4 linked regions of the Struthio camelus genome follow. The protein of the gene in region 4 interacts with the protein of the main gene of each other region in a pairwise test. Links are inferred from orthologs where the notes say so. Each region holds a gene or a part of one and is shown on either strand. Other genes may lie near its edges.

What was found.
Region 1: the proteins of KHDRBS2 (region 4) and hemoglobin subunit pi interact in binary tests that used the Homo sapiens proteins (3 or more experiments, as listed by UniProt). The two-hybrid records come from large-scale screens. The link is inferred for Struthio camelus from reciprocal best matches to the Homo sapiens genes KHDRBS2 and HBZ.
Region 2: the proteins of KHDRBS2 (region 4) and RNA-binding protein 3-like interact in binary tests that used the Homo sapiens proteins (3 or more experiments, as listed by UniProt). The link is inferred for Struthio camelus from reciprocal best matches to the Homo sapiens genes KHDRBS2 and RBM3.
Region 3: the proteins of KHDRBS2 (region 4) and CHTOP interact in binary tests that used the Homo sapiens proteins (3 or more experiments, as listed by UniProt). The two-hybrid records come from large-scale screens. The link is inferred for Struthio camelus from reciprocal best matches to the Homo sapiens genes KHDRBS2 and CHTOP.

Annotation. Positions count from the first base shown.
Region 1 is NC_090956.1:19,172,503-19,180,060, reverse strand, and holds hemoglobin subunit pi, read left to right. Parts: upstream 1-4,278; 5' UTR 4,279-4,552; coding exon 4,553-4,647; intron 4,648-6,024; coding exon 6,025-6,229; intron 6,230-6,813; coding exon 6,814-6,942; 3' UTR 6,943-7,100; downstream 7,101-7,558. UniProt on the Homo sapiens protein: The zeta chain is an alpha-type chain of mammalian embryonic hemoglobin.
Region 2 is NC_090979.1:807,463-815,478, reverse strand, and holds the start of RNA-binding protein 3-like, read right to left. Parts: upstream 3,348-8,016; 5' UTR 3,251-3,347; intron 1,464-3,250; 5' UTR 1,455-1,463; coding exon 1,352-1,454; intron 1-1,351. UniProt on the Homo sapiens protein: Cold-inducible mRNA binding protein that enhances global protein synthesis at both physiological and mild hypothermic temperatures. Reduces the relative abundance of microRNAs, when overexpressed.
Region 3 is NC_090971.1:4,710,876-4,718,182, forward strand, and holds the start of CHTOP (chromatin target of PRMT1 protein), read right to left. Parts: upstream 3,222-7,307; 5' UTR 3,031-3,221; intron 1,774-3,030; 5' UTR 1,757-1,773; coding exon 1,692-1,756; intron 197-1,691; coding exon 43-196; intron 1-42. Other genes in the region: S100A1 (protein S100-A1), read right to left, coding at 4,126-4,269, 4,363-4,503. UniProt on the Homo sapiens protein: Plays an important role in the ligand-dependent activation of estrogen receptor target genes. May play a role in the silencing of fetal globin genes.
Region 4 is NC_090944.1:36,990,499-36,998,373, reverse strand, and holds the start of KHDRBS2 (KH domain-containing, RNA-binding, signal transduction-associated protein 2), read left to right. Parts: upstream 1-4,774; 5' UTR 4,775-4,830; coding exon 4,831-4,921; intron 4,922-7,875. UniProt on the Homo sapiens protein: RNA-binding protein that plays a role in the regulation of alternative splicing and influences mRNA splice site selection and exon inclusion. Binds both poly(A) and poly(U) homopolymers. Phosphorylation by PTK6 inhibits its RNA-binding ability.

The sequences.
Region 1 (7,558 bases), on a different chromosome or scaffold from region 4:
GTGTTTGATCTTGTTTCCCACGTTCCCCCTATGATCTCCGGGCTCCTTAGGGCACAGCGCATGTCACTCCGATACAGTTTGCCGGGTGAACCCCGTAAACGCACACCTCCCTCTGGATTACTGAGCGAATCATTGCTTCCGCTGGCAGCTGTCGCGGTGCGTTCGTCTTGCCATTTGTCTTTTGTGTTAAACTGAGATCAGAAAATTATCTGCAATTATTTTAGAGAACGGCCTGGGTTTTGCATGCAACTTCTCCTGTATTTGATTGCAACGTGTAGATACTCGAACACTCTGCGATATCCCCCCTCCGGGTTGTACTCTGCAAGATTCCCGTCCCGGGCATCAGGCAGAGCAATGGGTGGTCGAAGAGTGAAAGGCAGATGAGCACACACAGCGCCGCGCTTAATCTGCGCTGCCCTTCTCCGCACGGCACATGATAACAATTGAAGCAAAAGTAGGTGTCACTGAGGCAAGAGAGTTGTTTGAGAGTGATTAAAGAGGAGTCATATTATCACAACAGAGCATTCTTCATGTGCCAGCACTGGGCAGCTGTGTTAAATTTTCCCCGGGGAGTCTTCTCTGAAGCATACTTTCTTTTTTTTTCTTTTTTAATAATAAATTACACGCATGTTTGTCATTTCAAGCTCTAGGAGATAGTAGCTCCATTAAAACAAAGTTCTGCAAGCCCTTTGAGCACTGGCAGGAAACGAAAAAATAAAACCAGGGTTTAGCGTCTACTTTCAAGATTTGCAAAACTCCATCTGCCCCAAATTCTTCAGCGTTAGAGTCAGGGGTATGTGCCACCGTTATACATTGAAGGCGCCTTCGAGAGGAGGGCAGTTCCCATGCAGAACGAAGGCCCCAGAGGAACGTTGTCCTCGAGCTCAGGGAGGGATCGCCATTAGCTCAGTCGCTGGATTTACAGTCAGGGCTCAAGGAAATTATAATCCCACTTTTATAATGAGCAAACATGTCTTTTGCTTGCTTCTGCCCTTTAAAAAGAGAAATAAAATCCATTTGTGCCTCCTACGGCCTGAATTTTGAGCAGGAATAGAGAAGACCTACGTTAATACTAAAAATTGCTTTTCTCACCTGCTGTTTGGTTTGTTCTTCCAGGAGCAGGATGAGGGTGGCTCGAGAGACCTGAGGCCGAGCTGCTGTTCAGGATGCCAATACACGTGCCAGCCTGGCCTGCCGCTCTTTTCCAGGGCTTTGGCAACACCTCACAAATTGGTGATAAAGGCTAATTATCTGCACAAAGATGCACATCCTGCTACGGATTTATGAATAATTCTGAGAAGCAGCAGAAAAAGCGGAAGGCGCGTCAGGTGCATTCTCCTGGGGGACACGGCTTCGTAGTCAATCCCGTGGGCAGAGGAACAACAGCGATCGTGTTGTCCAAGTTACTCCACAGGGCAGCTGGAGCCCCGAGGCAGAGGGACTTTGTGGAGAGGTCTATGTAAGGACGGAAGGGTGACTGTCACCCTCCCACATCACGTTGCAGCATGTGGCTATAGACCATGCTTCTCCCTCAGGGGCATGAAGAGCTCCCACAACTGTCTCCAGTGCAGCCCTGGTCCTAGGCAAGTGGCGAGCTCCTTCTCACAGACCACCGTTGCCTTTTGGTTGCTCTGGCTTTCATGGTAGTGCAAGAGTAACTCTGTGGAAATGAATTAAAATTCAATAAAGATTTCAGAGACGAGCAATCAGATACGAGCTAGCAGGCCTCCTGTGCAGACGTCGCTGTGATCCTCGTGCCTGCGCAGACTTTAATTCTCCAATCACGCAGAATCGATGTCCAGGCTAAACAGGGGGCAGCACAACAGGATGGAAGGTCCCTGCCTCGTGCCTGGCTACATCCAGTTCACGGTGACTTCCCTCGTGAGTCGACTGAGTGACCTGTGATTGAAAGCACCGTCGCTGAGCAGAACTTGGAGCGTAGCTCTGCAATGGGCAATGCAAGGGGGAGCACTCTGTTGGGGGGAATGAGACAAAGGCGTTATATAAGTGTACATCTCACAATAGCATGATTATTTTCAAGGTAATTTTTCTATGGGAAATTGTAAGTTTTTTACAATGCATGTAGCAAGGGGTGATGAATGCAATCTGCCTTGACACTTCTTTAAGCTGTTTAAATTGAATATTATGTTTCCCTGTGCCTTGGCTGAAGGATTACTGCCAGCACTATCAGAGGAAACTTTTAATTGGAGACTGCTCTGCACCGCATCCGTGTAGCTGAGCAGAGTCAGCTCTGGGTTTTCAGTTGGCCACAAACTCATCTTAATGTGGACATATACAGCACATACACTACCCTGTTCTGGACATACTCTAATCCGCACGTGACCTAAGTTCCCTAGAAGGGCTTTCTTCTAAGCAGGATGACCGTGTCTGGGAAGCATCTTCTGTTGCAGTCGTGAAAGGCAGGCATGTCTTGGTGAGGACTCTGGCTCATACATCAACCTTCTCAGCGCAAGCATGCAGGACTGGGCAGAGAACACGATCTGACCTGTCTGATTGTACCAGCCAGCTCTCCATGCACCACTGCCAGCACACAGTGGTGTGTATTGTTTCTGTAGTTTATCAGGGTGGTGGAGAGATTTACTAGAGCCTGGGCTACACGTGCTGGCAGCAGTGACCATCTCCAGATGGGTATTTCTTTGGCACTCTGCCCAGTTGTCTGTGATTACAGACCTATGCTGCTTTTTCCTTTTCTTATTTGGTCCTTCACCCATCAAGTGTGGCTGTGCCCTGAAGCTACAAGCCTTTTATGGTAGGACCAGGTTTTCCTGTGCATGTCCAGCAGGTAGCCCAGTGCACCCCAGCACCGTCTATGCTGCAAGGGACTATTTTACAGCACAAGGAATCAGTAAGAATAATACAGCTAGAAATCAAAGACTTGCAGTGTTAGACATTTAGTGACGAAACTCGCAAGAGAGCTGTATATAAGTGAATTATAGATTTAAGAATTGCTGGGAAACATCTATGTTACTGTCTGAGGAAGCAGCCTGCTCTCAGTGCTTCAAGATCTGTGGACAACAGGAAAGCACACGTGTCTGGCTGGGCTTTCTCATATGCATGTGCATTTTTCTAGGACCATGCTCAGTTTCATAAACTCAATCTCCATGTATCCAAATAAGTCATTACTACTGGTGATGTTATGAGCAAAACTGATTGCGGAATGAGTCCCTAATTCTTTGTAAGAAGCTGGGAAAATGAAGTCCTGGCAGTGCTGAAATGAATGTCAAAATCTCCACTGCTGTCAGAGTCCAATACTCTGACCACGTTCTTTTAGATATTCCGCGCATGGAAGGTGTAATGTTTAATATCAAATTTACTTTTTTGAAGATATTTGACGTTACATAGGATTCTGATGTAACAGAGTTACAGGGCAAAAAACTGAAATCACAATACGAGTGTAAATTATATCTAGCAAAATATAGCCATTACAATATACAGTTCAGTCGTAATACAAATGTAATTCCCCTTACCAGTCTCTATAATATGCTCACCATCATGATGCTGGGCATCCCCACACGCTGGGAAGGAATACGTGGGTTGAAACCAGCTCAAGACCATTGATTTCTTCAATGTTGTTTTGTTAGTTGTTCAGTTTTTATTGTCTATATTGGGTTTAGCCATGTATATGCTCCCCCTATGCTGGTCTGCTTAACTCACAGACATTCATACTCTTTCGATGAACTCGGGAAAAACATTTACACCATCAGTTGATCCATTCAACTGTGATATAGTCAGTTGACCTAATCAACTGACACAGCCGTTTACCTACAACACAGGTCCCTCTGGTCCCCTTTGTGTTGAGATAAATTCATCTTTCTTTGTAACAGCTGTGATCAGTCACTTCCTGCATTCTTCTGGGGGCTATATGGGCACATCACCCTTGCCCATCTCCTCTGAACCTTCTTCCATTGTGAGCATTTATTGGTCCGTCACGCACTCCCACTCTGAACTATACCGAGCATTTCCCAGCCTGACCCAATGCTACCCAGGAATCATTTTGTATGAGTATTGGACCATGCAGGTGCCACGTGTACAGGACGTGTATGATCTGCCACAGCAAAACCCAGAGGCCTTGTATACACATCTCTGAAGCAAGGAGGCAAATGGATTTTTCTCCAAAAGGATTTTTCTCTAGACTTCTCAGTATGTTTGAAATCCACACACTCCTCAGCTTAATGATGGGTCCTAATACTCTGTCACTGGAATTTTCCACCATTATCTCACTGTTCATGTATCAATACGCGTCCAGACAATTTCTTCAGGCCACATGGCCATTACGTTAAGAAGCAAGAAGCTGATAACGCCAGCAAACGAGGAGGCCAGTGCACTGACCCTTGCCGAAATGGACATTGTTTCACAGGGAGATAAGAGTCTCCCACCTCCATGGGAGGGCCTCAGGAGTGACCAATGAGCGTGGACAGCTGCCAAGATCCGCTCTCCTCTTCCTCTTTATAACCAGGGCTGTGAGGGCAGTTAGCACAAGCTTGCTCTGAGCGTTCGTTGCAAGGAGCCTGAGACTGCACCCTCTTGCACAATGACTCTGACTCAAGCTGAGAAGGCCGCCGTGATCACCATCTGGTCGAAGGTGGCTACCCAAGCTGACGCCATCGGGGCAGAATCACTGGAGAGGTAAGTCACCCAGCACCCCTCCTAAAAGGGTGCCTCATCTGACTTTGCTATTAGGATGCTTCTTGTGTAAAACGTATATGAATGAGATCACACTGGGACTGGTGTGAATTAGATTCTGCAGTCACCTTAACCGCCTCCATACACATGCTCAGCCTTTCTGGCAGTGGGGAGCTGGTCGGCTCTGCCAGTGGCGCGCAGAGCCCTGCGGGACAAGGCCCAAGGCTGGCTGGCTACTGAGCATGTGGTGTCAGTGGATTTTGGGCTGCACCAGGAAACACTGATGAGGAAGGACCTAGATATGTCTTGGAGAACAAGCCTCGTGGCAAGTCCTTTAGAATTTAGGCAATTATATAGAAATTGCTGATGAGCTCTATGATGTTATTTAATATGTAATTTACTGGAATTACATCTTTGCTACTAAATTCTAACAGATGGCCTCAAAACTTCATGGCAAGACATAATTTTCTATTCAATTCTACAGGTTTCCTTCCCCTTATAGCAACCCGGAAGAATTCATAGCCAGGTGCACGGAAGAGGAATTTAAATTCATTCATACTCAATGTCCTGAAATAGGGTTATCACTGCTAGGAAATGAACTTAAAGCAGTTTATTGTATGAGTGATGCAATTCCTATCACCATATAATCAGCATTAATAGATGATAGCTGTCCAATAAATTCATTGGATACTCACGTTTCCTTGAGCCAGTTGATGTGTAACAGACTGTTAGGAAACAACACAACTGGACCCTGCATGAAGTATATCACAGCAAACAGAATGGGCACTGAAGGAATCCACTGTAAATACAATAGCTTCTTATTATCCCAACAGGGATGTCCCTTTCAAATAAGCCAAGCCACTCTTAAGACTAAGGAAGTGGCTACTTCTTCCAAAAGAAGTTCACCCAAATTCAGCAAGCTGGCACAAAAGGGAGAGTAGTCTGTAAATTGTTCCAAAGCAATTAAGTTAACCAAAGTTATGTGGTTGTTATGTACAGATCAATCTAATGTACTGTGATGCTCTTTCTGAGACTCAGAGTACCAGTCATATTGATTCTGGTTCATTCAGCTCAGATTAGTTTGCAGATCCTGCTAACTGGCTGACAGCGTAATACACGAAACGTAGGTGACAATTTGGGTGCATTATTTGTTAATAATACATGAGCTTTAGACCCCTGGCTAATTTGTACATACTACCAAAGTGTTTTAAGAGCAGAAACATAGCAGGTCTTAATGCAAGCTTCAGACCCCCAAAGCTCTGTTACAACAGCTGAGCGAGTGTACTGCTGCAGCTGGTGGGTTTACAGCACACTTGTCCTGAGGTTGAGATCCTCCATGCAATTTACGCTGCTGAATTTAATTCTCTTGTTCTCCTCCAGGCTTTTCTCCAGCTACCCCCAGACAAAAACCTACTTCCCTCATTTCGATCTCAGCCAAGGTTCTGTTCAGCTTCGTGGTCATGGCTCCAAGGTCATGAACGCCATTGGGGAAGCTGTGAAGCACATTGATGACATTAGAGGCGCTTTGGCCAAACTCAGCGAGCTACATGCTTACATCCTACGGGTGGACCCAGTGAACTTCAAGGTGAGTGAACACAAACAGACACTTTCAGGGATGAAAACTGCCAGTCACAAAATTAGAGACCAGGGATCATTTCAGCTAATGGTGGCTTGATCCCTTACTGCACTGTACAGCCTTGTCAACTCATGTTGCTGCTTCGTCATCTGATTATTAACCTGAGATTGGATCTTTTCATGAAAGATCTGGTCTAGCTCAAGAAAAGAACTGTTCAGGGGGTTCCTGTGGTCTGTGTTAGACAGACTTGAGTCCCTGCTGTCTTTGTAGTAATTTATGAACCTTTCTCACATGTCAGAGTATAATATCACCTTTCTTGAAGAAAGCCTTAGTAAATTCTAAACAACATTTCCACTTTTCTTGCATTGCCCATTGGTGAAGGAGGAAGGGACATTTGAAAAGCGGGAGTAGTATCAAGCAGTGCCTTTTGCCCTGTGCAAAAGGCAATTCTGCTTCTTCACACTTTAGCCAGTGTTAACTGGCTGGGACATGTGTTTGTCGTCCAAGAGCAGGCTAGGAGTAAGGTTTGTTACAGATCCCTAGACTGAGGTCTATACTGATCACAATGGATTCTGTCCTGTTTTCCCTTACAGCTGCTTTCCCACTGTATCCTGTGTTCTGTGGCTGCCCGCTATCCCACTGAGTTCACCCCAGAAGTTCATGCTGCGTGGGACAAGTTCCTGTCCAGCGTTTCCTCTGTTCTGACTGAGAAGTACAGATAAATGGCTTTCACAGAGGGTGAGGGATGCACATCCATGGCATGCCACAGCTGCCAGGCTTTGGGGTATTCATTTCTTCCTACGCAGTCCTCTTAAATCCTCTATATAGGGGTTCAGTCATCTGCAAAACCCAATAAATAATTCAACCATGAGCTACCGTCTCTGTGCTTTCATCTTCACTTGCTCCACCTATGCCCCACTGTTCAGCCAGGGGTATTCTGACATCCCTACAAAAGATGGAGGGGAAAACGCTAAGCTGTGTAAATTCATGTGCACAGTGGGAATAACACACCATTGAGCAGAAGCCCAGAACAGGCTAGAGCCCTGTGACTGCTTCTGCTCACTGTTCAGAAGGTGGGGTTCACCAGGGATAAGGCTCACCAGGAATCGGTCTTTCACCCTGTTGGGATAGTGGATGGATCCAGGCTTTTCATTTGGCCTATCTGGAAAAAAGGGGTTAAATGTATGTTTCCTGTGCTGCTGACCCCTGGAACTGTCAGAGGGCACTTTGGAAAACCAGCACAGTCCATCCTGAACATAACTTGCATTGCCATAATTTGTGATGTGCCCAGAGCCATGCTGGGTCATCGCTCCTGCCCTGATGCATCCTCCACAGGGT
Region 2 (8,016 bases), on a different chromosome or scaffold from region 4:
TCAGTTTTAGGACCCCCACCCACGGGCGTCCCCCAAATACAGGGCTCTGGGGGTGATGGAGACCACCATGGACACCACTGAGACCCCCACCCATGGGTGCTGGCCACCAAATGTGGGGTCTGGGGGACATGGGGACCCCCCCCAGCCATGGGAGTTCTCCCCAAATATGGTGGTCTTGGGCAAATGGGAACCCTCAGGGGCACCGCTGGGACTTCCACCCATGGGTGTCCCACCAAATGCGGCGGTCTAGAAGAAACAAGCTGTCTCAAGAACACCACCATGGCCCCCACCCATGGGTGTCCCACCAAATGTGGGGGTCTAGGAGAGATGAAGACCCTCAACAGCACCACCACGACCCCCCCCCATGGGTGTCCCACCAAATACGGGGGTCTAGACCACATGGTGACCATCAGGAGCACCAGCATGACTACCACCCATAGGTATCCCACCAAATATGGGGGTCTGAGAGACACGGGGACCCTCAGGAGCACCACCATCACCCCTACCCATACATGTCCCACCAAATATGGGGGTCTAAGAGAGATGGGGACCCTCAGCAGCGCCACCGCGACCCCTATCCATGGGTGTCCCACCAAATATGGGGGTCTAGGAGAGATGGGGACCCTCAGCAGCGCCACCGCGACCCCTATCCATGGGTGTCCCACCAAATATGGGGGTCTAGGACAAATGGAGACCCTCAGGACCACCACCGTGACCGCCACCCATAGCTGTCCCACCAAATATGGGGGCCCAGAAGAGATGGGGACCCTCAGGAGCACCACCATCACCCCCACCCATGGGTCTCCCACCAAATACGGGGTCTAAAAGAGACGAGCTCCCTCAGGAGCACCATCATGCCTCCACCCATAGGTGTCCTCCTCAAATATGGGGGTCTAGAGATAAGTGGGAGCCTCAAGAGCACCACCATGACCCCCACCCCGGGCATGCTCCCCAAATGGGGGGGGTCTAGACCACATGGCGACCATCAGGAGCACCACCGTGACCCCCACCCACAGGCGTCCCACCATATATGGGGCTCGAGGAGACATGGCACCCCTCCACGGCACCACCATGACCCCTACCCATAGCTGTCCCACCATATAGGGGGCTCTAGGAGACGTGGGGACCCTCAACGGCACCACCGTGACCCCCACCCATAGGTGTCCCACCAAACATGGGGCTCTACAAGAACCCAGGTCCCCCAGGAGCACCATCGTGCCCCCCCAGGGCCGTCTCACCCCCTAGACAACCCCGAGACCCCCCACCCATGGGTGGCCCCCGGGCAAGGAGAAGGAAACCAGCCCTTGGGGAGGGGGGGGGGGTCCCAGGGCTCGGGGAGGGGGGTCCTCACCCTCCGAAATGGGCCCGAACGAGCTGAAGTGCTGCTCCAGGCCCTGCTCGTCCGTGTCGAAGTTGAGCCCCCCGACGAAGAGCTTCCCCTCCTCCGACGACATGGCGGGGGGCTGCGCCGCGTGGGGGGGGGGGGACACGCTCAAGGGAGTCCCAATACCAGGACACCCCCCCCCCAGAGGAACCCCCAAAACTAGCGAGAACCCCCCCGAGGTCCTATAGGACCCTCCTTGGGCCCTCTAACCACCCCCCCCAAGAAGAACCCCCTAAAACCAAAAATATCCCCCCAGGGCCCTATAGGACCCTCCTGGGACCCCCCCAACCCCCTCAGGGGACCCTCAACCCCCCCCCAGGGGACCTCCAATTCCCCCAAGGGTACCCCCAAAACCAAGGAGACCCCCCCAGAGCCCTATGGGACCCCCACTTGAGCCCCCTAACTCCCCCCCAAAGTGCTACAGGACACCCCGGGGTGCCCCAAGCCCCCTTGGGCACCCCCGAAATCAGGGAATTCCCCCCCCCCAAGCCCTATAGGCTCCGCCTGGGGCACCCCAAGCCCCCCCCCCCAAGGGCACCCTTACAACCAAGAAGACCCCTCCAGAGCCCTATGGGACCCCCCTAGAGCCCTCTACCCTCCCAGGACACCCCCAAAACCAAGGAGACCCCCCCCCAGGACCCTATGGGACCCCCTCAGAGCCCTCTAACCCCCCCCAGGGGACCCCAAAACCAAAGAACCCCCCCAGGACCCCATGGGACCCCCCTGGGGCACCCCTAAAACCAGGGAGACCTCCCCTGAGCCCTATAGACCCCCCCCCGGGGCACCCCAACCCCCCCAGGGAAGCCCCAAAACCAAGCAGACCACCCCCAGGACCCTATGGGACTGCCCTGCAGTCCTCTAAGCCCCCTAAGGGACCCCCAAAACCAAGCAGACCCCTTCCAGGGCTCTATGGGCCCCCCCAAAACCAAAGAGACCCCCCCCAGACCCTACGGGACCCCCCTGGGGCACCCTAACACCCACCCAGGGCACCCCTAAAACGAGGTAGACCCCTTCCCCGAGCCCTATGGACCCCCCCGGTGCACTCCAACCCCCCCAGGGGACCCCCAAAACCACGGAGACCCCCCCAGGGCACCCTCAGCCCCCCAGGGGTCCCCCAAAACGGGAATCCCCCTAGGAAACTCCCTCCCCCTCCCCCGCCCCGGGAATCCCCCCTAAAACCCAGCCCCAAAAATAGATCGCTGTGACGTCAGAACCCCAAAGGCATCCCCATCCACCCCCCCGCCCCCCCCCCCGGGCAGCCCGACGTCATCCCCGCCCGGGGATGCCCTGACGTCACAGCGCCGCCTCCCCGCGGGGGAATCCCCCCCCTCGTCCCACGTGGGTTCCCCCCCCCCGCCCCCGCCGCCCGCGCAACGTCACAATCCCCCCCCCCGCCCCGCACGTCACAACCCGCCGCCCCACGTGGGTCCGGCGGCCACGTGCCGCCCTTTCCCGCCCCGCGCGTCCCTAGCGGCGCGCGCATGCGCCAGCCGCCGCGCAGGCGCGGGAGGGGAGCGGGACCGCCCCTCGCCCACCCCCGACCTCCCTGCCGCCGCGCATGCGCACAAACCGAACGCTCCCCCTCCCACAGCGGAAGGGGGGGAGGGCGCCGCGGCGGCGCATGCGCAGAGCGACCACGGCGCCGCCGTAGCGTGAGGAGGCCGCGCATGCGCAGAGAGCGACCACCGCGCCGCCGTAGCGGCGGCGGGAGGGGAGGCCGCGCATGCGCAGAGCGGCCGGGCGGCGGGAAACCGCGATTATCGCGACAGCGGAAAGGAAAGGGGGGGGGCCACAGAGTCGGAGCAGGGTGGGGGGGGTCGCGACAGGCGGTGGGAGGGGGGAGAAGGGAGGGAAGGGGCGACTCACCCGAGGGCGACGACAGAGGGGCCGGAGCGGCGGAGACTGCGGCCGCGGCGCCGCCCGCCCCCGCCTTATATAGCGGCCCCGCCCCCGGCCGCCCCCTCCCTCCCCACGTGACCCGCCCGCCACGCCGCCCCATTGGCCCGCCGCGGGGCCGCGCGTGCGCGGCGGGCAGCGAGGCTCCGCCCCCCCCCCCCCTCCGGCAGCGGGCGAGACCATTCGGGGAGCGCGGGGGGGGGGGGTGGGAGGAAGGAAGAGGAGGGGGAGGGGGACGAGCGAGCACGCGGGGCCGCTCGGACGCCTGGGCCCCTTTGGGGGGGTGTCCCCGGACGCCTGGGCCCCTTTGGGGGGATGGGGGGGTTACCCGGACGCCTGGGCCCCTTTGGGGGGATAGGGGGGTTACCCGGACGCCTGGGCCCCTTCTTTGGGGGTTACCCGGACGCCTGGGCCCCTTGTGGGGGGGGTAAGGGGGGTCCCCGGACGCCTGGGCCCCTTTGGGGGGATGGGGGGGTTACCCGGACGCCTGGGCCCCTTCGGGGGGATGGGGGAGTTACCCGGACGCCTGGGCTCCTTGTGGAGGGGGGTAAGGGGGGGGTCCCCGGACGCCTGGGCCCTTTTTGGGGGGATGGGGGGGTACCCGGACGCCTGGGCCCCTTCTGTGGGGGGTACCCGGACGCCTGGGTCCATTTGAGGGTGGGAGAGGGTCTCGGGACGCCTGGGCCCCTTTCGCGGGGGGGGGGGGTGATGGGGGGGTACCCGGACGCCTGGGCCCCTTTGGGGGGATGGGGGGGTTACCCGGACGCCTGGGCCCCTTCTGTGGGGGTTACCCGGACGCCTGGGCCCCTTGTGGAGGGGGGTAAGGGGGGGTCCCCGGACGCCTGGGCCCCTTTGGGGGGGATGGGGGGGTCCCCGGACGCCTGGGCCCCTTCTGTGGGGGTTACCCGGACGCCTGGGCCCCTTGTGGGGGGGGGTAAGGGGGGTCCCCGGACGCCTGGGCCCTTTTGGGGGGATGGGGGGGTTACCCGGACGCCTGGGCCCCTTGTGGGGGGGGGATGGGGGAGGTCCCCGGACGCCTGGGCCCCTTCTTTGGGGGTTACCCGGACGCCTGGGCCCCTTGTGGGGGGGGTAAGGGGGGGTCCCCGGACGCCTGGGCCCCTTTGGGAGGATGCAGGGATTACCCGGACGCCTGGGCCCCTTCTGTGGGGGGTACCCGGACGCCTGGGCCCCTTCTTTGGGGGTTACCCGGACGCCTGGGCCCCTTGTGGAGGTGGGTAAGGGGGGGTCCCCGGACGCCTGGGCCCCTTTGGGGAGGGGGATGAGGGGGTACCCGGACGCCTGGGCCCCTTCTGTGGGGGGTACCCGGACGCCTGGGTCCTTTTGAGGGTGGGAGAGGGTCTCCGGACACCTGGGCCCCTTTCGCGGGGGGGGGGGGGTGATGGGGGGATACCCGGACGCCTGGGCCCTTTCTTTGGGGGTTACCCGGACGCCTGGGCCCCTTGTGGGGGGGGGGTAAGGGGGGGCACCCGGACGCCTGGGCCCCTTTGGGAGGATGGAGGGATTACCCGGACGCCTGGGCCCCTTCTGTGGGGGGTACCCGGACGCCTGGGTCCATTTGAGGGTGGGAGAGGGTCTCCGGACGCCTGGGCCCCTTTCGCGGGGGGGGGGGTGTTGAGGGGATACCCGGACGCCTGGGCCCCTTCTTTGGGGGTTACCCAGACGCCTGGGCCCCTTGGGGGGGGGGTAAGGGGGGGTCCCCGGACGCCTGGGCCCCTTTGGGGAGGAGGATGAGGGGGTTACCCGGACACCTGGGCCATTTTGAGGGGAGGATGGGGGGGGTCCCCGAACACCTGGGCCCCTTTCGGGGGGGTTTGGGGGGGCACCCGGACGCCTGGGCCCCTTTGGGGGGAGGGATGGGGGGGTACCTGGACTCCTGGGCCTTTTTGGGGGGGGGGCAATGGGGGTACCCGAACCCCTGGGCCCATGTGGGAGGGGGGATGGGGGGGTCCCCGGACACCTGGGCCCCTTTTGGGGGAGGATGAGGGGGCACCCGGACGCCTGGGCCCCTTTGGATGGGGGTTGGGGGGGGCACCCGGACGCCTGGGCCCCTTGGGGTGGGGGATGAGGGGGTCCCCGGACGCCTGGGCCCCTGGGGGGTGGGGGGTGAGGGGGTCCCCGGACGCCTGGGCCCCTTGGGGTGGGGGATGAGGGGGTCCCCGGACGCCTGGGCCCCTTGGGGGTGGGGGGTGAGGGGGTCCCCGGACGCCTGGGGCCCCCCCCCACCAGCAGACGCCGGACGCCTGGGTTCCTCGCAGCCTTTAATGGCTCCCGTACAGCCGAAACGACGCGGCCGCCCCCCCCCCACACCCCGCCCCGGGGGCTCTATAGGGGCCGTGGGAACCCCCCCCCGCACCCTATGGATCCCATCCCCCCCCCACGCACACCGGCACCTATAGGCGCCCCCCCCGGAGCCCACGCAGGGGCTGCGGGGCCCCTATGGCGGCGCCTGGGCCCTAGAGACACCGTGGGGACGTTATAGATGCTATAGGGGATCGCAGAAACACGTAACAGCTCTTACACCCGCAGTATAGATACTATAGAAAACCCTTCTTGGCCTTTATATCCTTTACATGAGCAGCATAAGCAACATATAGAATCCCGCCTGGCCCTTATAGATGCCATAGGGGCTCCCATAGTGCCCCCCCAAGAACCCCCCCTTTACCCCCCGGGGCCCCTATACCGTCTCCCGGCTGAGTGCTGCCCCCTTGCGAGGCCCTATGGGCGCCATAGGGGCCCCCCCGGTCGGACGCCGCCGGCCTCACGGCAGCGCTATAGGTGCCGGAGGCGCCGCCAGCGAGGGGGTTTGTCCCTTATATCCGCTGTAGGTTGCTCTGTGTGAGTGCTCCTTGCCTGGGGCTACTATAGGGGCTGTGGCAGCCCTTACGCAGGCACTATAGATGCCTTAGGGTCCCCTATGGAACCATTATAGCTGCTATAGGATGTCCTATACAAGCAGCACTGTTACGGAAACTCTCTATATGCCACCGCCTTCCCTCTCTGGACATTATAGATGCCATACAGTGCTTTGCCCGGTCGCTACGGGCGCTATAAGGGCACCTTAAAAGCGCCCCGGGGGGCCCCTATGGCAGCACCGCTCCTGAGCTATTATAGACGCCCGAAGGTCCCCTATAGAGGCATTACGGAGCCTATAGGTTCCCCCGCCAGCTGCCACGGCAGCCCCACACCAACACCCCCTACGGGGGCTATACGGGCCCCCCCCCCGGCACCGGCCGGCCGGGCGCCCTTCCCTATAGAATCCATACGGACCCCGAGCCAGGAGCGACCCCGGCTATAGGGGCTGTAAGGACCCCCCCCCGCCAGCACCCTATAGAGGCAGCATGGCCCCCCCCCCCGGGGCGCTATAGGGGTCTGGGCCTATAAGCGTCTCATGCTGCACATATACATATATATATATACATTAAAAAAGGCGCCGCTCGTGGCCTATGTACATATCTACACCCACGTACGGGATCCATAGGGGCGCTGGAGGGGCCGATCCTGAGCGATGCCGGGGACCGCGGGGTAACGCGGGGGCGACATTGGGGGCCTGGAGTAACCTCGGAGTAACCTCGGCGTAGGTCAGGAGTAACCTCGGAGTAACGGGGTGACCTTGGCGTGAGCTGGGAGTAACCTCGGAGTAACCTCGGTGTAGACCAGGAGTAACCTCGGAGTAACCTCGGTGTAGGTCAGGAATAACCTCGGAGTAACGGGGTGACCTTGGCGTGAGCTGGGAGTAACCTCGGAGTAACCTCGGTGTAGACCAGGAGCAACCTCGGAGTAACCTCGGAGTAACCTCGGTGTGGACCAGGATTACCCTCGGGGTAACATGGCAGTAACAGTGGCATGAGGCAGGAGTAACCTCTGGGTAACGGGGTAACCTTGGAGTGGACCAGGAGTAACCTCGGAGTAACATGCGAGTAAGCTCGACATAAACCAGGAGTAACCTCGGGGTAACACGGGGGGGGACCTTGGCGGGGACCAGGAGCAACCTCGGAGTAACATGGCCGTAACCTTGACGTGAGCCACTAGTAACCTCTGGGCAATGTGGGGGTGACGGTGGGGACCAGGAGTAACCTCGGGGTAACGTGGGGGTCCTGGTGTGGACTGGGAGTAACCTCGTAGTAACATGGTGGTGGTCTTGGTGTGAGCCGGGAGTAACCTCGGGGTAACGCGGGGGGCGACCTTAATGTGGACTTGGAGTAACCTCGGAGTAACATCGTAGCAACCTTGTGGTGAACCAGGAGTAACCTCGGGGTAATGTCGGGGAACTTGGCATGGACCAGGACTAACCGCGGAGTAATGGGGGGGGGGCTTGGTGTGGATCGGGAGTAACCTCGGAGTAGCATGGGAGTAACCCTGTGACCCTGGCCTGAACCCGGAGCGACCTCGGAGTAACATAGGAGTAATCTTGGCATGAGCCGGGAGTAACCTCGGGGACACCTTGGCTTTGACCAGGAGTAACCTCAGAGTAACATGGTGGTAATATCGGCGTGGGCCAGGAGTAACCCCAGAGTAACGTGGCAGTAACCGTGCCGTGGACCAGGAGTAACCTCGGGGTAACATGAGGGTGACCTTGGTGTGAGCTGGGAGTAACCTAATGGTAACATGGGGGCGACCTTGGCCTGAACCAGGAGTAACCTCAGAGTAAGATGAGAGCAACCTTGGCGTGGACTGCGAGTAACCTCGGAGTAACGCAGGAGTAGCCGCAGTGTGAA
Region 3 (7,307 bases), on a different chromosome or scaffold from region 4:
CATCATCAACTGGCTGCACTAGAATATCATACTTTCTCTCACCTGTTTAAGTTTCAAAGCAGCCTGGACAGAAGGTCTATTCTCCATCTGCTGGGCCAGTCTTCTGTTTCTGGCACTGGCTAGCTGCTGCTGCTGCTGCATGGTAGCTCGAATATTCACTGGCATCGGCTGTTTGTTCTTCAGCATGTTAGTAAAGCTTCAAGGTCGAATAAAATGGGTGTTTAAATAAAGCTTTATTACACACATTTATTGGCATTTCATGGTTCTCAAGATTGGATCTCCAGATCCCATGAACCTTATGTAAAGAGTGGTACTTAGGTCACGTCATATGTGAGTTACGTATTCCTTGTTTTCCACAAATGTGCAAGAACTGGAAACTTAGAAATGATGTTGTGTATTAATTCAGAAGTGGTAAAGGTTTAGTTTACCGATTTTAGAAATGGAAGAAGGAATGAAAACAAGCAATAAGCAGAGATGACCATGACAGATGGAAGAGGACATTGCACAGAAGTAGAAAAGCCAACTGAAATCTGACTGCAAAAGCCAAAATAACCTCACGGAGTTGAGAAAATTCTCTAAAGACTCAACCCCAGAAGACAGCTTTATAAAAGACTTTGCCCTGAGAACAGACTGGTATGCCTCCAGCACACCACAGAAACGGTGCCACAAGAAACACCACCATCTGAGTGTAGTCATTTATAGAAAACGGTTTATCTAGCACTTTCCTTGACGCATGAGGAACCTTCTGCCTTTAAGAGCTATATGGCCTAGAACATACAACAAGATGGTAAGCTTCCTTAGCAGCAACCCATCAGCTTTCTACTGTGTCCTAGGAGTTACCAGGACAGCAAAATAAAGCACTACAGAATGAGTAGTATGGACTGACCAAACAGCAACAGGCCAGCAAGCATTCACTGCACCTCACTATTCCTCTTCTCCAGGAGGCAAGCCAAGCACTGGTTCAGACTAAGTCTCGCTGCAGCACTTGCTGGAACAGGAACTGCATACAAATGGTTCATTTCTCCCTGGCCTAATGCTATTAACGTGGTTAATCCAAGAGCGATTAGCGAGAAGGTGAAACATAACTGAAGCATTGCTGTTAGTTGTCACTGCAGAACCACAAAAGCGTAATGGCATGGAAAAGCAGGAGGATATTCAGCAGAAGAAATAAAGAACTCAGCACCAAGAAAAGAGAGAGATGGAGATGGAGCAAAGCATTTGCCTCTTACAAGGCCCAAAACGTTGTTAAAGGGCCTTTGGGCTTGTTTAATGGCCTGCTGCCTGCCTCTTACAGGCCAGACCACATGCACGTGTGTCTGCCTTGGACAAAGCAGCAAGCCTACTGCAGCTTAGGTAACATGCTACCATGCTGCAGTGTCAACTATATAAATGTAAAAACATGTGGAAGAAAAAGGGAGGGTGCGAGGTTTCTCTTTTTTGTCATAACACATCCCACCATACTTATGTGTTGAATAGTTTAATTTTAACTGCTACGGATAAATTTCTCCAGAATAATTGCCCTTTTAACCTTGTGTACCACATTTGTTGCAGTTTAAGACAGAGGTGCATAGCCATCTGCTTGTTATAGCGAGGTTAAAACAGGGCAGAAACCACGTTGGTTTTTGGAAACCAGACAGTGATAATTAAGTAAAAAATTTCTTATGAGCTGAAGCTGCTGTTGGCTTCCTCACCGCTCGTTCAGAGACATCTTGGTGGTGCTCTTTAGCACAACCTTCGGTGCTGACTGTGCAGCCATCTTCAGATCAAGAGAATCTGCAAAACATGAGAGCCTGATTTAAAAAACAGCAGGAGAACTCGCGTTTACGTGGTTAAACATTCAGAAACCTGCATTCCATTCCAGATCCTTTTGTGGAGAGAGCCAAGAACTTGGCAAAAAACACTCTATCTCAAGTTTCCTAGGCCATTGTCATGATGCAGTAAATTTATTAAGCTAGCAAGTTATGCTGGCTCATCCCTTACTAAATAGTCTTCTTTTCAGAAAGGGAAGATTTGCCATTGGTAGGAGTAATGCTGCAGAAACATAGTCCATCAGCAGCCAGGACGGCACCCAAACATCTTGTTTGGTACTGCACCTAGTGACACTTCTACAGCTTCTAAGCAGTTAGTATCAATAAAACAGAAAATGGGGTTTCCATCTTAGAGAGGCATACCACACACTCGGTAATACCAAAAAAAAAAAACCCACACACCCCAAAGCTTATTCAAAGACTGCTTTTTCCTACAGAAGACCTACATACTTTCAAAATATTAAGGTCACATTCCCTCTTACTACCCTAGGATTGCCACAGCTGGGCTGCACAGGGGTAACCTATATATGTTTGCGCAGTTACTTCAGCTTTCGAGTATGTGATACTCTAACAGGCAGCTCACCAGCACTCACAATGCGGCTCTCTAATATGAAACCTCATCACATTGCTCATGAGAGCAGCTAAAGGGATTTAAACCCAGCTGTTATTATCTTTGGATCACAGCTCAGGCCTGAGAGCAGTGATGACTACAACTTGAAACGCTAAGGAACACAGCTCAGCCCGCTAACCGTTCGGATCAGTGCCTCATTTTTATGATTAATAACGTATCTAGCGCTTAGGTGACTGGCAAAAGCACTTATCCTCAAGCTACTAGCAACAAATAAGATTTTTACGATGTTCTACAGCCCGCTCAGCTAGAAACGGAGCTAATAATCCGCTGCAGCACTTCCCCCACACCGGGGAGGGGGGGAAAGGTGGTTTCAAAACAGCCTTTTTCCCCCTGCCCACGCAAACTGCACAGAGCAGCTGGCGGGGAACGGCGCTGACAGGAACCCACCGAGCGCCGGGCCCGGGGAGCAGGGCGAGGCCTGGCCCCGCCGGCCCGGCCCAGCCCCGCCCGAGGCGCCTCGCGAGGCCGCCGGGGCCGAGCCCAGGGCAAAGCACCGCACTGACCCCGCAGGCGGCGGGCCCCCACCGCCTGAGGCCACCCCGCGCCTCCCCTCAGCGCCCCCCGCCCCCGGCCAGGCCCGGCGGCTCTCACCGAAGCAGACGGTCGCCAGGTCTCCGGTGGGGGCTGGCCGGACAGCTGACGGGTGGGGTGCGGGGCTCAGCTCCGATCCCCTCCGCCCGCTCCCGCCGCGCTCGAGAGCCAGCGACAAAATGGCGGCAACGACCGCGGCACCTTCCCTCCCTCCCCCAGCAGCCGCGCCGAGCCGGGCAAAATGGCGGCGGCGGGCGGGCAGGGCGGGCAGGGCGCAGGCGCCAAGCGCCGCGCGTGACCACGCCCCCTGCCGGCCGAGCGGGGGTCCGGAGGCGCATGGGGGCGTGGCCTAGGGGAGGGGGCGTGGCCCCGACGGCGGGGCGAGGCCTCCGGGGCGGGGCGTGGACGGGGAGGGGCGGGGCCTCGACGGGGCGGGGCGGGGCCTCGACGGCGGGGCGGGGGGGCGCGGGCGGCGGCGGCGGTGCGCGGTGCTGCGCGGTGCTGCGCGGCCGCCGCCCGCTCCGTCGAGGCTGGATGCCGCTTCCACAGCCCCCCGCGCCCGCAGCACGTGTGGGGCGGGTGTCCCGGCCCGCGCCCCTGCCTCCTCCGCCCCTGGGGGGGGAACAGACCCCGCCGTCGGGCAGAGGGGGTCCCTCAGGGATGTCTGTGCGCACCCTCGGGTCGCCCACGAGCAGGACACAGCTCCGGCCGGCCAGCGCCGCCGCTGCCCCTTGCTTTCTGCTGGGTGCAGCGGGGCGCCGCGCGCCGGCCCCGCCGAGACCCCAGGGGCCGGAGCGGGAGGCCCGGGCCGTGCCGGAGGGGGCGTTCGGGGAGCGCTCCCGCCGGAGCCGCCAAGCCCGGCAGGCGATGGCGCTGCCGGCCCTGCGTGGGGCCCGCCGGGAGGAGGCGGGAACCGGTTCCTCGAGCCCCGTGGGGCGCAGCGCCGCTCGCCTCCGCCGCGACGGCCGGCCGGTCCCGCCCCGCATCCCCGCGCCCCCCCACCCCGGTGCCCGCCATCCACGGCGACCAAGGAGGTGACAGCACGCCGCCGGCTGGGTCGCTGCCTTTATTGCGGAGCCGGATGCCGGCGGGATGCCCCGGGGGGCGAGGGGGGGGCGGGGGGCTCCGCGTTTCGGGGAGGGGGGCCGGCCCGGCTCAGGCGTTCTCCCAGAAGAAGGTGTTGCAGGCCACGGTGAGGGCGGCCACCAGCACCACGTACTCCTGGAAATCCACCTCGCCGTCGCCGTTCTCGTCCAGGTCCTGCATGATCTTCTCCACGGCGCCCGCGTCCTTCTGCGTCTGCGGAGGAAGGGGCAGAGGGCGAGCGCCGGGGCTCGGCAGCCCCCCCGGGCCCGCGCCCGGGTGGCCCCCGGTGCCCGCGCCGGCCCCTACCTCCAGGAAGCAGCCCAGCTCGCTCTGCAGCAGCTCCTTCAGCTCCCTCTTGCTCAGCTTGTACTTGTCGCCCTCCTTGCCCGAGTAGTGGTGGAAGACGTTGATGAGCGTCTCCATGGCCCCCTCCAGCTGCGACGCCATGGCTCCGAATGCGCCCGGCCGCGGCCGCCCGGGCCCGTTAAATAAGCTCCAAGCCCCCTCCCTCCGGGAGGATCCGACACCGCGGCTGGCCGGCCGGCCTGGCACCGCCGGCACGGAGCTGGCGCGGGGGCCAGCCGGCGCGCGGGGCGCCCGCTCCGGCCCCGGCGGCGTTCGCGCCCCGCCGAGGGGGCGTTCCCGGCCCGGCATCCCCCCCCCTTCCCTCCCACCCTGCTTGCACCCCGTGCCCCAAACGGGACGAGCCGGGCGCTGGCGGGAGCGAGGTGCCGGCTGCCGGACGGGGGGAGCCACGGGGGTCGGCTCCCGGGTGGGCGCTGGGGGCCAGAGCCCCCGTCCGTCGGCCCCCCTCGGCCCTCGGCCCCGGCAGCCGGGCCGCCCCGGCCCCGCGGGGTATCCGGTGTCCTCGGAGCCGGGTGGGGGGCCCGGCGGTGGCTATCGGGTGACGCAGCCCCGGCCCCTCGGGGCCGCCCGGCCCCCCCCCGGGCGCAGAAAGGCCTCTTGTTCGATGCAAAAAAAAGAACAAAAGCCCGACTCTCCCGGCGGGGAAGGCTGCTGCGGCCGAGAAACCGGATTCCCGGCTGGCATCAGCGAGGCCGATAATCCCGGCTCTCGTTACGGGCCGGCGGCCGGGTGGCGCGCCGGGGACCGTCCCCGCCGCGGCCTTTCCCGCGCCCCGGCGCGGGAACGGCCCCGGGGGGGGGCACCCGAGCCCCGGGGCACCCCAGGGTGCCGGGCGGCGCTGCCCGTGCCGGGGCCCTGGGCTTTTCGCAAGAGCCGGGTGGTGCCGGGGAATCTTTATCCCAGATTCCAGTCCTCGTTGGGAGCTAATTATATCCTGCTCTCCTCTCCGGCTCGCCTCCCGTTTCCACCGGGCGCGCGCTGCCCTCCGGCCCCCCCGTCCCGTCCCCGCCGTTGTGCAACGCGGCCCGGACCCCGCGCGGCCGGGCGCCCTCTTCCCAAACCGGGAGCCGGGCCGGCGGGCTGGCGCACCCCTCCCAACCGCTTCCAGCTTCCGACTCCCCTGCTCCAACCGGTCGCTCCGGTTGCTGGTGCCGGGGCTGGGCCCCATCTCGCCGCCCCGGCCCACGGCTGGCGGGCGGACGAGGCTCGCGGGGAGCCGGCAGCCCTTTCCCGACGGATCGGCGCGCGGCGGGCTCGGGGGGAACGGCCCCCGGGATGCTCCGCGCCGGCCCCGGGATGCTCCGCTCCGCCGCGGCGCTCCTCCCGGCACCTGCTCCCGCTCGGCCCCCCAAATTCCAGGGCTGGCCCCAAATTCCTGGGGCCGGTGACTCAGCCCAACCCGTCCCGACTCACCCCGGCGCTTCCCGCCGCCCATCCCCGGCCCCTGGCGCGGGGCTCGGCGGAAGTCCCGCTCCGGCCCGGCCCCACGGGGCTGCACGAAACCAATTCCTGCCCCGTGAGCTGGGGCCGCGGACCGCCACGCCGCAAGCGCGCGCGCGGGTGGAGTGAGCGCGTCAGGGCTCAGCGGCACCGGCCCGGTGATGCCCAGGGTCGGATCCCCAAAACGCCCCGTGGGAAAACCGGCTCCCCTGGGAAACCCCAGCCAACCTGGCAGCCCGCCCGGCTTTCCCGACCGATGCCGCCCCGGCGCACCCCGGCCCCCTCCCGGCCCCCTCCCGCTGGCCCCCGCGGGAACGGCCCCGCCGCAGCGGGCACCTGCTCCGGCTCCTGCGCCAGGTGGAAACCGGCCAGGCCGACCGCGTTAAAAATACACCATGATTAAACGCTGGGGCAATTCCCACCCCCTAATTAATTGGGATTAATTAATTTCTACAAAGACCACTATTAATAGGGATGATGTCAGTGGGCAGCTGAGTCACCACTCTCACTCACTGCGGGTCGAGCCCGTCCGGGTCTCGGGGTGCCCCGGGCCGCGGCGCTGCCTTCGCCCCCCCGCCGCGGCCCGCTCCGCGTCGGCGCTGAGCCCGGGCTGCGCTCGGCGCACGTGTGGTTTCACACCCCCACGAAAAACATGCTGGCCTTCGGCTGGTCGCCCCGCCGCGGCCCCGACCCCGGCCCCGACCCCAGCCCGGGCGGGGAGGGAGGAGACCGGGGGACGGCCGTGCGTCCGGCCGCGCGTCCGGCCGCCGCGGGAAACGCCGCGGGAAACGCCACGGGAAACCCTACACCGCGGGCCGGGGACAAAGCGCCGCGCTCTGCCCCGTAAAGCCTCGCCGGGGGCCGCGAGCGGGGTAAGTAGGGACCCCTGTCCCGGCGGGACCCCCCGGCCCCTTCCCGCCACCCCCGGATGGCTCCGGCGCGGGGCGGGCCGGCGGAGCCCCTCACCGAAGCGTTCGGTCCTGAGGGTCTGCGTAGCCCCCCCCCCCCCCCCCCCAGCCCCGGCTAGCATCCTGCTCAGCCCCGCGGAGCCGGCAGGAGCTGGGCTGAGGCCTTGCAGACTCACTGCACCCGGGGCGGGAGGGGTGTCACGAAGCCGCCCTGCACCGGGGCCAGGGCAGAGGGCCCCGGCGGCCACCGAGACGCGCCAGCGGGCAGGAGCGACGAAGTGGGGGGGGGTCACATCACCGGGCCTCCCCGGCGCCCGGGCACGGCTTCGTCGGCCGGCGGGGGGCTCGGGCGTCCCGCCGGCCGCCGCGGGAATCGCCCCGGCTGAGCTGCGCTCCCCGGCCCCGGCGCCCGCCGAACCGCCCGCCGTTCCCACGCGCCGCGCCGGGCTCGGCGGGCAGCAGCGGCCGCGGCCAGGCGGGAGGCGTTTCCCGGCCCCACGCTGGCCCCGGGCCAGGCTCCGAAACGCGCCCCGGCGG
Region 4 (7,875 bases):
TATGAAAATGAACAGTTCTAAATCTTGGAGGTAAGGATGAAAGGGCAATTCAATAATTTATTAGTTATTGATTGTAGTAAGGTTAGAGTAAACCAGTGAAGAAGGAACGGAGGTATGATCAGGAGGAACACTTTCGTGAAAGTGTTTGAGTGATCAGCAGTAGATTAGCTGTCCAGAAGGTCAGAAGGAACAGCAGAGATACAGCCCCAAACATGAGGAAGCAAAATATAAGATCTGGTGGTTGTCTGCATGTGGAGGAGAGAGGGGAAATTGGTAATTATGCCATAGATTCACAACAACTCTGTCAGTTTTGGTAGCATCACAGGGAAGAAAGAAAAGAGAGGGGGCATTCTAGGCTGCCTTTTATTCTTTGCAATCGGTTTCTATTTAAGAATTTTTCTGTCTTCAGCTGCTGTTTTACAATTTATCCTTTGGGTTAAAATCATCCCAAAATAATGATAAAGGAGGTCTTTTGTTCTAAGTTCCTTTCAGGGAGGTTATATTTCCTCCTTTTGTATTTACCTTAGGTCATCTTTTCAGTTATTTCTTCTTTGCAACATATTAAGAATGCTAAATGTGAAATAGAGCTGTAATAGACATAATTTTATTTGATGTGTGTTTTGAAGAACTAAGAGCTTGTGACATGGTTATCATAAACCAAGTCATAGCATAAGCCTGCATTCATCGTACAACTGGAACTCACACTGAACTCTATCAGAGTGCTAGGCACAGCAGAAATATATCAAATAATGTAATGTTTTGGAAAGAAATAAGGGATGATGCACTTTTTACCTGAAAATGTTTTATATGATTCATAGACTACAGACTAATCTGTATGATTCGTCTCTGTTTAAGACTATCAGTGTTTATTCAGTTGTATTAGTGGAGAGATCCAAAATCTACTGATATCAGGATCTTTCCACTGAATTCAATCAGCTGTGAGTTGGACCAAATGCCTGAGTCTTTTGCTGTGCAAAGTGGCTAGTCAGAAGGTGATCTACAGTGATTGGTGTATTTGCTGAAGTACATTTCCTTTCTGGGTTGTTCAGCCAAGTGTTCTCATTATGGAAATAAGTTTTGCATTGACAACTTGTGTCCAGGTATGCGTCCAGGTGTCCTGTTATCAGATTGTAAAGCAGCATGAACTCCAAGGACTAGGGTTCACAGATGAGGGGGCAGTGGCCGGATAGAAGCCAGGTACAGCCATTGTCCCAAGAAGGAATTAAACATACTAAAGAAAAGGAGGGGGAGACATACTTATGCATGTATTGCTGCTTCCTTATTCCTTATATTGTGAATAATAACTCTGGTTTAAGGATAGGATATAGTTAACACAGCTGATGGTAGAAACTCCCTAGGCTGTTTACGCTGATGTGTAGTCAATTTAGGAGCTCAGATAATCTCTATCCCTAGCTAAAAATGGGTGAAACAGAGAAGAAATTTGAAAGCAAATGGGATTTCTGAAATTGAAAACTCCTGACTAATCTTGTCTCTGGTGTATGAAGGCCTAGGTGTAATCACACACATAAAGGTGTGATCTCATCTAATTCATCTAACTTATTACAGTGACTAATGTGCTGACTCAGAAATGTAACTGTCATTGTGCTCACACTTGTCATTCATTCTACTGCATATTCTCAAAGGATTTCCTAGTTTTTAAAATATATATTTGGAAAGTTTGGAGATTTTCTACAGCAGTATGCTTCCACTGCCTTTTGACTTCAGTGCTACATGATAGCACAAGGGAGATACATTCAGCTGGTAGTGGCAAAAAGACACAATGATTGCTACCTGTCTATCTTCAAATAAGCTATAATCTAGTATGCTGTGATCTGCTTCATTATCAGACTTAATAATAAAATATAGTACGGATAAACTTTAATTTGGCTTGACACTTTAAACTAAAAAGTTATAAAATGTGCCTTTGGTTTTTAGTAGCTATGAAAAAGAATTCAATCTCCAACTAGCAATGAAGCCATGCTTGATGTCATTAGAGGTCTATATTTCCTGTCTGACAGATTTTAATGATTTTTTTTAATGAGGTCTAAGGTAAAATTTAGAAAAGCATCTCAATGGCTTTGCAGCCTAAGTATCATTGAAAGTCAATTTAACTTTATAACTTTTGAAAATGGAACTTACAGAAAACTTGTCTCTGCCTACCTTGCTGTAAAAAGATCAGCATGCCAACCTGTTCTGTACTCCCTTGACCAGAGAAATGAGTTCAATGAATGTAGCCCTTCCCACTGCTCAATAAACATAAAGGTGTTTGAACAAGGTGCTTTCTTGTAGGTGCTTTCTACAAGCTAAGTGGGATAACTGCAACTAAACAAACTAAAGTGACACTATTCTTATATTCTTATATTCTTATTCTTATAGCACCCCAGATGGAAAGCCCATCAAACAACTTCTTTCCTATACTTGAGAACATAGCATGCCCTGAAGGCTAGAAGACCAGCCTTGCTTCGGAGTAAGGATGGCTTAAATTAGTTTTGAAGATGTACTCAGAGAATCAGGAGCAAGACCTCTCAGAGAATCAGGAGCAAGAGCTGTCACCGATCTTTTCTCTTTTTGAAGTGAGGGGGACCAGCCTGAATTATTCTGAGGAGTAGAGCTGCAGAAGTATGGTATGAAGACACAGGCGATCTCTCTCTCAGGTAAGATAGTCCTGAGTTCTGTCGCAAACAATATGGCATTTCTTGCTAAATTGTGAGCCATGTGAAGAAGAACTGCCCCTAGTTCTATGTTTGTCTTTGTTTTATTTGTTTTTTTTTAAATGAGGACTTACACCTTTACCGCCACATCCAATATGTAACAAAAGCTGATTGCCAATTAAAGCAGTCATTTCCATAATCAGAGTCTTATTATCTACTTCTGAAGTGTTTCACATGTCTTGAAATCAAACTGTTTTCCTGCTCCTTGCCTTTCTCAGTGGGGAACATAGTTCTCATACCTTCTCTTTCTTTGTTGTTCTTTCTTTTTCTTTCTTTCTTTCTCTTCTTTCTCTTTCTTTCTTTCTCTCTTTCTTTCTTTTCCTTTCTTTTTCTTTCTTTCTTTCTTTTTCTCTTTTTTCTTTCTTCCTTTCTTTCTAGAAATAGGAATAGTAGCACTTCAGTCTTCTACATCTATGCTATATGTATTTTTATAAATACATGGAGGCCCTCAATTACTCTACATACTGAGTGGAAATTGAGTAATGGCTGTCTGCATATATCTCAGGTTTTTGAAGACATCACAGACCATTTTCTATGGCTGTTTAACACCTTTCTGTCCTGATTTTTACCTTTGCTTATTCCTTCATCCCCTGAAAAAAGTACAAATAAAAATCCAAACACTATAGAAAAAAATCCCTTAAGAGGAACAGTAGTAGGTGATTTGAAAGTGTATTATGGCAGTAACTATTTATTTCATTAGAAAAACATATTAAGTTAAAAGCAGAAAGAATCTCACCTTGAGGTTGAGCATAGCACACATAGTATTGTATGATGGACAGTTTGTTCTTGAGGCCCCACAAATGACGTTTTAACAGCCTTAAGATGAGCTAAACATCTTTTGTTTACTCTCAGAATCAAAACATGTTAGTAAATTGTCTGTTGGGGGAAAATCCTGAATAAATATAAGCTAGAGTAAACGTATATTTAAAGCTAAATTCTAATTAAAACAAAATCAGTTTTATTTACTCCAGCTGTAGACACTTCAATTGCGTAGCCGCTGTAATTCCTCAGGTGCGGGTGCAGGAGCTTCAGTTCGCTGCGCCAGGAGGCGCAAGGCTGCCTGCCCACGCGAGACCGCCCCCGCCCGCGGGCCCCTCCTGCGCGGACAGGTCACGGCCGGGCCCGAGCAGCCGCGCCGCGCCGAGCCGCCGGGGCCCCGAGCGACCCGCCGCCGCCGAGGCGCCGCTGCTCCACGGCCGCCGCCCCGCCCCGCGGCCGGCGGCGGCTTCAGCACCGCGGACAGCGCCCGGCCGCCGGGGCCCGCGGGCGGGGCAGCCGCGCGGAGCCCACGGGCACGGACAAATGGGCTTACACACGCTCCTGAGCGCACGCACGCACACACATATACGGGCACACACGCAGTCACAGCGCGCACAGCCACAGCCACGCACCGAAACACGGAGCGGCAGCCACACACACACACATACACACACGCGCGCGCGCGCTGCGACGCACGGACAGGAGCGACGCAGACACGCAGTCACAGCGCACAGGCAGACACAACACACGCGTGCACAAAGAAGCACTCAGAGACAGAGCCACAGGCGCACGCTCACACACGGAGACACGGCACACGCACCCCCCCCAACACACCAGTCACACACGTTCGCGCGCGCGCGCGGTCCTCTCCCCCCGCCCCCGCCCCCGCCCCAGACCGCTCCGCGCCCCGCCCACCGCCCGGCGACAGCCAATGGCGCGGCGAAGTTTCCGCGTGGCCCCCGCCCTGCCGGGCACAGCCACCAATAGGAGCCGGGGGACTGAGCGTGCCTGGCCCCGCCTCCCTACTTAGGGCGGCCGGTGGGAGCGGGTGGCTCACTGGGCGGGGGGGGCAGAGGCGCGCGGCGGCACACGCTGGGACACGCGCGCCCACACACGCGCCCCCCGCGTGGAGCGAAGGCGGCGGGGGGTGGGAGGAGGAGGAGGAGGAGGAGGCGGTGCCGCCGCCGCCGCGGGCAGCCGCGCCGTCGGGGCGGCGGCGGGCGCGGCGCACCTGAGAGCGGCGGGGCGCCGGGTCACAGCGAGGCGGCCGGAGGCGCGGAGCGAGCCGGCCCGCCCGCCCAGCCCAGCCCAGCCCAGCCCAGCCCGCCCCGCAGCGCCCGGCCGCCGCGGCCCCGAGGCGATGGAGCAGGAGAAATATCTGCCCGAGCTGATGGCGGAGAAGGACAGCCTGGATCCCTCCTTTGTTCACGCCATGCGCCTCCTGGCCGACGGTAAGGCTCCGCGCCCGGCCCCGACCCCGGCCCCGGCAGCGGGGCGGTGCGGCGGGGCCGGGCCGGGCGGGAAGCGCGGCGGCGGCGGCGGGCGGCGGGCTCGGCGTCCCCCCCCCCCCCCCCCAACGTCCCCCCCAGCCTCGGTCCGCGGAGCGGAGGCCACCGGCGCTGCCGGCCGCAGGTGCGGAGCGCGTCGGGCGGCGGCCGCTGGGGCCGGGTTTAACCGCGGGCGCGCCAGCTCCCGCCCTGGCGGGCTGCTGCGGCCGCTCGCCGGGAAATGCGCCTTTTACTTCTTTGGGGAAGGGGAAGGTCTCTCCTCGAGGCTTGTCCGTAGAAGGCGGATGGCCGCGCTGGTCCCACGGGCCGTTGCAGTTGGTTGGGCTCGGGGAGCATGCTGCCATGGCCCCTGGTTTTATTTACACACAGGCAGACGCTAGTTTCTCGTTGAACTCATTACCTCTTCTTTCCCGTGCTTAATAATAAGGCTTATATGATAACGCTGTTACGCCTTCAATGCAGCACTGTTTTCCTTGACTCCGCTCTGTCAGGCGTTCATTGGCTGGGGCTTATCAGTTTCATGCCACAAGTTCATTCAGGACGTGATGAATTACTCCTGGACTCGTGGGGCGATCTAGAATAAAACACTCATAACATCTCGTTCTTCATTATCATAACGTAGCTCTGTTTTCCTCATTTTGGTTGAGGCCTTTTTTTTTTTTTTTTTGACTGGAGAGTCTTTTAAAAGTTTATAATTTAGCCTATTTTTTCCCCCATACCCGCTCAACGTGGTTACTGAGCGCAGGCCTTGCAGTACGGCGCTTCCAGTTGCACAGCACCGTAATCTGTGACGGCCCCCTCCCTCTGTTCCTTCGGAGGTGTATATTGTTCGTTTCTAAAGTCACTGTTAAATTTGGATCCAAATATCAAAACGAAGTAGTAAAGAGTGCATAAATCAAGAGAGGCTATCAAACCCTTAAATGAGACTGAGGCAAAGAAATGGATGATTAGGCCCTTGAGAGAGTCGCAAATTCCAATTATCTCACATTCAAAGAGGAGTGAATAATTTCCAAAGTTCTGTAACATCTTAAGGAAAAATTACAACCACTTAAAACTTACTATGCTAGCAGTACTTGTCTTTCCCTAAGCCAGCAGTCTTTCTGTTGTCTTTCTTTCTTACACGTTTTCTTGATTGTGAATAAAGGTACTGAGTCTAGGTTTTATTAAAGTGCCCCTGTTTGATAGTTTGGAAGTTCAGTATGAATAATGACACATTTAGTATACCTTTGTAATTGGTCTCCTGCTGCTGAAGAGATAACCACGCTACTTCCCATAGTTGTTTTTCTATTAAGGACTTTATATGTACCATATGTTTATTTCGGAAAGGGGCATATTTTCTGCACCTTGCAATTTGATCTTTTCCCAGAAGGGGGAGGTATCTACTGAGAGTGTGTGTGTGTGAAAGAAAGAAAATGCATGCAGGAAGTAATTCAAAGTGTGTGAAGTAAAGTTTTTAAAAAAAAAAAAAAAAGGGGGGGGGATGACAGAGTTTCTGAGTTTCAAGTTCATGCGAAAATTGCATTTTGAGTGGCTTGTGAGACTGCATAAGTGATTAGCATTCTCCTTCGTTCTTAGTATAACTAGGACTAAGTATGTGAATTTTTAAAAAAGATGAAGGTGAATTGTCTGTGGAAGCTGTAGGGAATGCTAATGTCAGATTCACACCAGATACCTGGCATTATCCTTCAAAACACCATCTGTCAAGCTTTCTAGAGATTCATTTTAGAGTCTAACATATGATAACTATTGAAACAGTTTCATCAAAGTAAGAGTCAAACTAGTTAAGGAAACAGGAGTGAATGCACTGATTGCTCCTGGGTATAAGCAGAAGGAAAAATGTGTACAACAGGCGGAAATTTTTTGGGATGCCAGAAGAACATGGAGCAGTAGCGCAAGGGCAGTAGCGTAATCTCTGTAGTAATATGTTTCTAGGCTATGCTGGCTTTAAAGCAATGCTTCCAGATTATGGATTTCTGTTCTTTGAAAAATAATATATGAATAGCTGCATACATACCAATAGTAGTCAGGTGTTATTTTTGTGGTGTGCTAAGCTTTTTTGATTGCCAGTAGATTTAGTATAAAATGTGTAAGTGCTGGTTGCAGATTTTTTGCTTCAGAGTGGAGAGCCTCCAGCTCTGACTTGAAAGTGCTGTGATTTTTCATGTCACTTGCTAGGAGCTGAGGTTGAGAAGAGACATGCTCCTGTTGGAAACCGTAGAAGGGCACACAAGAGAGCAGCATTACAGAAATACAGTTTCAGTTCATGACACCTGGGTTTACTTGGATTGACTTGTAAAAATATTTCTGTTTCTTTTAAACTTTAATATTAGACTCTGCCGTTTTCCTTCCCACAAATATGTATTTTATGTTTAGACGTGCCTAACTTATTAAGCTGTGAAGATGTGGGTGACACATGGAAGCTACAAACCACTGGACCTTTCTGATAATTTGTAACTTCTTTTATATCAGCATTATTTTAATAAGCCAGAGTGTCAGCTACTTGTCGCAAACAATATGTCGGCAATTTTCCATGTATGCGTGGCTTTGAAATAGCTTACATTGTATATTATTAAAACCAATTGCCTGTGTTTTCTAGTAGAAACATAAAGGAAAAAGACCCTTTGGAAAAAGAGCCAGCCAAAGTAAAAGCATCTTTCCCTATTGAAATATCAACACTACTTGGGTAATGAGGTAGCTAATTTCGCTCTGTTTAATGACAGTACAATTGACCTCAGATTTTCAGCTGGCGTTCTGAAGGCAACGAGAATCAGGTCTTTTACTTTAATCGCGAGTTAAGCCCTGAGTCTGCAGATTATTCTATGCAGCATGCTAAGAGTTTGTGAAACCTCCAGGCATGTCGGTTAGTCTCATATGGCTCGATGTCATAGAGCTCCTTG